2 linked regions of the Pelodiscus sinensis genome follow. The protein of the gene in region 1 purifies or fractionates together with the protein of each later gene. This does not show direct contact. Links are inferred from orthologs where the notes say so. Each region holds a gene or a part of one and is shown in the gene's direction. Other genes may lie near its edges.

What was found.
Region 2: the proteins of EXOC6 (region 1) and EXOC8 purify together in Homo sapiens (affinity purification with mass spectrometry; 4 studies listed by BioGRID and IntAct, counting the BioPlex papers as one, with this or other methods). This does not show direct contact. The link is inferred for Pelodiscus sinensis from reciprocal best matches to the Homo sapiens genes EXOC6 and EXOC8.

Annotation. Positions count from the first base shown.
Region 1 is NC_134718.1:42,542,902-42,546,650, reverse strand, and holds the start of EXOC6 (exocyst complex component 6), read left to right. Parts: upstream 1-998; 5' UTR 999-1,071; coding exon 1,072-1,193; intron 1,194-3,749. UniProt on the Homo sapiens protein: Component of the exocyst complex involved in the docking of exocytic vesicles with fusion sites on the plasma membrane.
Region 2 is NC_134713.1:123,879,648-123,883,396, reverse strand, and holds the start of EXOC8 (exocyst complex component 8), read left to right. Parts: upstream 1-771; 5' UTR 772-1,059; coding exon 1,060-2,583; intron 2,584-3,292; coding exon 3,293-3,749. Other genes in the region: DNA-dependent metalloprotease SPRTN, read right to left, coding at 356-615. UniProt on the Homo sapiens protein: Component of the exocyst complex involved in the docking of exocytic vesicles with fusion sites on the plasma membrane.

The DNA of each region.
Region 1 (3,749 bases):
GGCAATAGATAGAGAAGAAGCTTGTGCAAGACACTGCTGTTTTTAGACAACTAGGCTTTTTATAAAGTGTCATTAACTGCAGCAAAGCACAGGATTTGGATCAAAATCAAGTTTTTATTTAAGTCTCTGAGTGAGATACCAAAATTGGTAAGCTATAAAAAGACTGCCCTTTCCATGCAACACTGCCTGTTGGCATTAGGTTTGATTCTTGATGAATTTAGCACTTCATTCTCAAGTCTGACAAAAATGGATGAGATTGAGATTCATTTGAGGAAGTTGTACCAAATATTTTTCCATATTGTAGATTAATGGTCAGACTATGACTTTAAGTAAGTGGTGCTCTGAGTCTGGAGTCTCAATGCAGGATTGAGGCCTACATAATGTATTAGTGTGAATTTAATTTATAGAACCAAGGGACACCATGAACTTAAAAGCCACATTTCTATTTGAACAGTTTATCTAACACTGTAAAAATGACACCTAAAATTGCTGGAGCTGAAAGAGAAAAAAAAGCATAAACATTTCTCTGCTTTTTAGTGGACTTTGTGCTTTTCACAGCCCTTTTCCCTAAGGAGTTTCTGTTTGTGTGGGTCTCATGCAAAGCAACAGGGACAAGACAAACATTTGGCAAATAGGAAAATAGTTTTCAAACTGACAATAATTGACAAGATGAACTCAAAGGTAGGTGTCCTGTATGAATTCACGTGTAAATTATAATTTGAAGATAATTAACTTACAAGATGAAAGGGGACACCAAAAATCTGAAATACTTTTCACCAGTGAACTGTTTTAAATATGTTTATAAAGTGTTATATACTTTTCACAAAATCTCCCTTCTGTTTTCAAGAAAAGACATTAATTAAGTGGGAACAGAGTAATAGGCACATGTTACCAGAAGATAGGAAAACAGCAGCTGTGCAGCATGCTTGGACACAAAGTCCTCAGGAATCACAAGGTCAGCCCAGGGTCTAGTTTTTCACTGCTCTTTTGCTGACTATGGAATCATTGTGGTAGTGATCGTAAGCAGAATAAAAGTCCTGCACTAAAGTTAGAACTGTTTCATGCTCTGCAATGGCTAGAAAAAGCAAATTAAACTTGTTGGAGCTTTATTCAGAAGAAAACAAAGATCAAATATATGAAAATGTCTTGGCTGAGATTGAGTCGTTTGAGCTGCCTCTTGGAACCAGTTTGAGGTAGGCATGGTTTATATAATATTTTATTGTACAAACTGTTTTTGTTGTATTTGTTGGCTGTTGTTTTCCCCACCCTCGGGTACTGGAGACCTAATTCTGCACACACTGAAAGCCATAGGAAAACGTCCTTTGAATTCAATGGGAGTAGGATTTGACCTTAAAGGAACAAGCATAGACTCTACTCAGCCCCTTCTCACCAGAACAAAGAGTGACTTTACAGACTTACCCAGGGGTGGGCAATAAGTTTTGCCCACTGGCCGCTTCAAAAAAATTTTAAGTGGTCACGGGCCGGCACGGGGCCTAATTCGGAAGGGGCGGGGCCAGAATGCTTCTGGGCTTCCCCACCCCCAGACCATAACTGGTTTGGGGGTGGTAGAGCCCATTTGCCCCTCCTTCCCACTAGGCACCCATGCCCCTGGCAGGGTGGGAAGAGGCTTCACACACTTCCCTGCCTCCAGGGCCTGCAAGAAACCATCCTGCGAGCAGCGCATGCCAGTTTGAAGTGTTGCACACTCTTCGCAGGGCCAGGGCAGGTCGAAGGAAGCTTCAGGCAGCTCTCCCACCCCTACGCCCTGATTGGCCTGGGGGCGGGGAGAATGCACGAAGCCTCCTCTTCCCACCCTACCCCCTGCAAGGAACACGCGGCATTTCAAAGTGCCACACGCTGCTTGAGGGTGGGAGGAGATGTCATGTGCTCCCTCGCCCCCAAGTCCTGATTGGCCTGGGGGTGGGGGAGCGGCAGGGCTTCTGCGGGCTGGATCCAGCACGCAGAGGCCCTTTTGCCCACCTCTGGACTTACCAAGTGCTCCATGAAGAAATAAATTACTTTTATAAATGAAACCAAGAAACAATGGCTGTTTTTCCTTAATGAAATGATTTAATTAAAATGCTTGAAAAAAATAGATGGGTAACTTTTAATTCGGATATTTTAAGACAGACACTACCCTTGTTTATCATCAAAGTCCCCCCCATGCACTACTAAACTTTATTTAGTGAAATTCCCACATGCCTTTGAAAAATTTAGATATAATGCATTTACAGTTTACTGAATTTTTGTGGACATGAAACTTATATATTAAAGATTGTATGTTTAGCTTTACTGGTGTCTGCAGCAGTGTTAGGATAGCTTGTCTGGTATTGCAGATGTCAGTTTGCAGTAAGGATTATACTAAAGAAAGAAACCATATATCTTTATTTAGAAATTTAATTCTTCCTGAAAATTGAATTTATTACCCTATTCTGTAAATAAAATTGGTGATGGAAAAAAGAACGTGGGAAGAATTTCACTATATTTCAATTATTTCTACAGGGAAATAATATAGCTAAGGTAGCTAAAACCTGTAAACGGTTTCCTCTTGAGTTTACGGTTTCCAGCCTTGTGAGTAGGGGGTGTATTTTTTTTACTACTTCCCTAACTGACATAGCTATGCAGCAAAACTTTCTACTATAGACCAGGGTTAACAGTATATTTCTAACTATTGACTGCACTAGTTTGTTGGACTCAGGAGTAAGTAAGTAGGCCAATTTGCAATATCTCTCTTCTGTATCACTGCCTGATCTGTACTTTGCAGGATTTTCTTTACAGTTAGAGAAACTCTCTGTAGCTGACAATGGATGCCACCAGTAGGTTCAGCTGAACATGATTTAGCTGCAACTGTAGGTGACACCCAAACTGCATTCAGTACTGTTTCATTAACTGTGGCCTAGTGCTTGATGATGGCTTAATTACTGTTTGTGCATTAGCTGTAATCATGTTCAGCACCATTTCACTTTCTGGGCTGTTCAGCTGCACCGGATGCTTTTAACTGTTAGCAAAGGTTAGCTTTTCTAGTCTATGAAACACCATAAATTCACTTTTAAGGATGAAATTTTCTAAAGTTGGCCTCCATTTGTGCACAGATGATTTTGCATTGTAAAAATATCCAGGTCTGGCCCATGAATGTTGGCAGTTTTTGGAACTCAAACCCAAATGTATCATAAAAAGAGAAAACAAGTATAAAAGCTCCTACTTCTCTGCAATAATAAGGAGCCTGATTAATGTTCCCTCTAATTTTTTCCATTCATTTGCAGAATAAATGTTCTTATGTGCACCAAGACATGTACAGATGTGCACCATCAGTAGAAACACATGCTTCTGGCTCTGGGTGCTTTGCTAATCAACTGGGCAGCATTTGAATCTCTCCAGGTGGCCACACATGTGCTTATAGGAAACACTAACCCTGATGTATCTGAGTCCAAAAGCAGTGGAAAACATGTATCTAGTACCCAGAGTCAACGGAATCTTGCATATTTTTATACCCAATCTGCCAAATTCTATAGGTTAAATAGAGAAAAAATTAAGCAGTTCCCATGAAAATAAATAACAATACTGAAAAGAAATCTATACTTAAGAAACTGATCTTGCAGTACCAAAAAACACCATCTTCTAACACCTGCATCTTGTTAGATTCAGTTTGTAATATTTTTATCCCACATACAAAATTTCTACTAGCTAAAGTGAAAAATACTACGAGCTGCTCTAATTCCACTGCAAAATGCATCACTGATCAACGGCAC
Region 2 (3,749 bases), on another chromosome or scaffold:
AGAATTAGCTATTTCAAGTTCGTCAGAAACACCAACATCTGACCTGGCACCTCATCGCTAGTCACCGCCACCCGGTGAGCCTCGAGGGGCGCCGCTGACAAGAGTCTGCCCGAGTGGCCCAGGCGCAGCATCACTCAGTGACCTGCTCGGGGACCCGGGCGCCTTTGCAGACGCGCGTCGGTTTTTCCCCCACATTGCCCCGAAACCAGCTTCCCCGCGAGCTCCCGGCTCCCCCCAGACGCCGCCCGGCTCCCGGCAGCGGGTTTCTGGGCCCAGCGCGGCCGCTCGATCCAGCTCTCCGGGGCCGGGCGCGCTCCCTGGCTCCCGCTGCCCCCGCCCCCAGCCGGCACCGTACAGCGTCATGCGCGGGCTCCACGTCACCGCCACGGCCGCCAGCTTCCCCCAGAAGAGCGTCTCGTTGAACTGCACGAAGAGGCCGCGCACGTCGGGGCTCGGGTCCAGCAGCTCCCAGGCCTCGTCCACCACCGAGAGCGGCCGCGGCGGGGACGAAGAGCCGGGCGGGGACCCGCTACAGGCCGCCGCCACTGCCGCCGCGTCATCCTCTTCCTCCCACTGCGCCTGCAGCCGCAGCGCCAGCAGGAAGTCTCCGTCCATCCCGGAGCGGCGCGAGCGGGCGGGAAGCACCAGCCTGTCAGTCTCCCAACCGGCAACCGTTTACTTCCACTGCGGCGCATGCGCAATACAGCTAGGCAGCCTCCGACGGCCTTCTCCGCACATGCGCATGCTCCCAAACGTTGCGCGTGCGCGTGCGCCACTGACATCCCACACTTCACTTCCGCTCTGTCCAGCGCAGGCGTACTACCCCCCGGGTGGAGGGGGCTCAACCAGCGCCTGCGCAGGACAGCTAACCTGGCTCGGACGCCGGGATATTACGTCATTCAACAGGCGGTCGCTCTCCAGGCGCAGGCGCGATATGGCGGAGTAGGTGGCGCGGAGAGCCGTTTTCCGGCGCAGGCGCGGTAGCCACCGTACCTGTCACCCGTCTTCCGTTCCGCTGTGGGTGCGTCGCGGCTGGCGGCCTCCCTGCCCGCGGGCCCCATGGCGCTGCCGTTGGCGGAGGGCACGGGGGGCGGGAGCCGGCTGCGGCGGCAGCTGGAGTCGGGGGGCTTCGCCGCGGGCGAGTACGTGAAGCAGCTGTCGCAGCAGTCGGACGGGGACCGGGACCTGCAGGAGCACCGGCAGCGCATCCAGGCGCTGAGCGAGGAGACGGCGCAGAGCCTCAAGCGCAACGTCTACCAGAACTACCGGCAGTTCATCGAGACGGCGCGCGAGATCAGCTACCTGGAGAGCGAGATGTACCAGCTCAGCCACATCCTCACCGAGCAGAAGGGCATCATGGAGGCCGTCACCCAGGCCCTGCTGCTGCAGGCCGACCGCGACGACCCCGCCCAGGGCGCCCGCCGCGCCGCCGCCGACCCCCACAGCAACCCCTTCCTGCCGCTCTCGGCCAAGGAGGCCGCCGCCAGCGAGGAGGGGCGGCAGCGCACCCTCACCACCCTGCTGGAAAAGGTGGAGGGCTGTCGGGACCTGCTCCCCGAGAGTCCCGGCAAGTACCTCGTCTACAACGGGGACCTGGTGGAGTACGACGCCGACCACATGGCGCAGGTCCAGCGGGTGCACGCCTTCCTCATGAACGACTGCCTGCTGGTGGCCGCCTGGCTGCCCAACCGGCGTGGCACCTACCGCTACGACGCGCTCTACCCGCTGGAAGACTTGGCTGTGATCAACGTCAAGGACAACCCACCCATGAAGGACATGTTCAAGCTGCTTAGGTTTCCTGAAAGTCGCATTTTCCAGGCTGAGAATGCCAAGATCAAGAAGGAGTGGCTGGAGGTGCTGGAGGAGACCAAACGGAACCGCGCCCTCAGCGAGAAGCTGAGGTTGGAGCAAGAGGCTCTGCCACGGGCTGCTCCACCACCTCCTGAGACCGCTAATCCTTTTGAACAAGAAGATGAAAAGGAACCCCCACCCGAGGAAGAGACAGTAGATCTGTCCATGGAGTGGATCCAGGAGTTGCCTGAAGACCTAGATGTCTGCATTGCCCAAAGAGATTTTGAGGGAGCAGTTGACCTGTTGGATAAATTGAATGAGTATTTGGGAGACAAGCCCGTGAACCAGCCAGTGAGGGAGTTGAGAGCCAAGGTAGATGAGAGAGTTAGGCAGCTCACTGATGTACTGGTTTTTGAGCTATCTCCAGATCGATCATTACGAGGCGGTCCTAGAGCCACTCGCCGGGCTGTGTCTCAGCTCATTCGCTTGGGCCAGTCAACCAAGGCATGTGAGCTTTTCTTGAAGAATAGGGCAGCTGCCGTACACACAGCCATTCGTCAACTGCGCATTGAGGGTGCCACTTTGCTGTACATCCACAAGCTTTGCCATGTCTTTTTTACCAGCTTGCTAGAGACTGCTAGGGAATTTGAAACAGACTTTGCAGGCAACAGTGGCTGCTACTCTGCCTTCATTGTGTGGGCCCGCTCAGCTGTGAGGATGTTTGTAGATGCCTTTAGCAAGCAGGTATTCGATAGTAAAGAGAGCTTGTCTACTGCTGCTGAATGTGTGAAGGTAAGTGTGTTAGAAAGATAGTGATCTAGTGAACTGACCACATTGCTGGAAGAAGACAATAACTTCTGATGTTTAAGCTATGTTCACTTACTGATTACCTCTGTGGCTTTGATCTGGTCACTTGAAAGGCGCCAGGCAAAAGGGGGAAATTAGCTTATGTTCATGTTTTCTTTATGTTATGTGAAAGGCTTTTTTTGTCTGTTTTGTTTTTTGTGCTTGTGTTTTATCCTGTGAATATCGGGAGTTCAAAGTTTGGTCTTCCCAGGTTTTGCCCAAAGACACTTCAGAGATTGTAAATGTTTGTCAGCTCTTTCACACCTTATTTGAAGAGAGAGACTTTATTTAACAAAAAAAGTTTCAATATTCCTTTCTCCAAAGAGTATATTGGATTTAACCTGAATATGGGTTCACAAAAAAGCTTTAAAAATACTAAAATTCTCTTATTATTTAACTACCCTGCTTTCAGGCCCTTACAACATGATTTTATTACTTCTCTAGTGGTTCCATGTCAGAGAAGATCTGCATTTCTAATATTAAAAAAAAAGATTAAACCAATGTCTTTTTTTTTAAAAGACTTACTTCATTTCTGCTTTATATTTCATTATTTATACTTTTCAGGAGAATATGGTGATTTAACTAGACTATTTTGTAAAATATTTAGTTTAGAAGGTGATATCCAGATAAATATTAATAACGTTTATTATTGAAGGTAGCGAAAGAGCACTGCAAGCAGCTCAGCGAGATTGGGTTGGACCTCACCTTCATCATTCATGCCTTGTTGGTGAAGGATATCAGAGGAGCTTTGCAGAGCTACAAGGATATCATCATCGAAGCCACCAAGCATCGCAACTCTGAAGAAATGTGGAGAAGGATGAACCTGATGACCCCAGAGGCTCTGGGGAAACTCAAAGAGGAGATGAGGAGCTGTGGGGTGGGCAGTTTTGAGCAATACACTGGTGATGACTGCTGGGTGAATCTTAGCTACACTGTGGTGGCTTTCACCAAGCAGACTATGGCCTTCTTGGAGGAAGCCCTCAAGCTGTACTTCCCAGAGCTGCACATGGTTCTATTGGAAAGTCTAGTGGAGATCATCCTTGTGGCTGTCCAGCATGTCGATTACAGTTTACGGTGTGAACAAGACCCTGAGAAAAAAGCATTTATCAGGC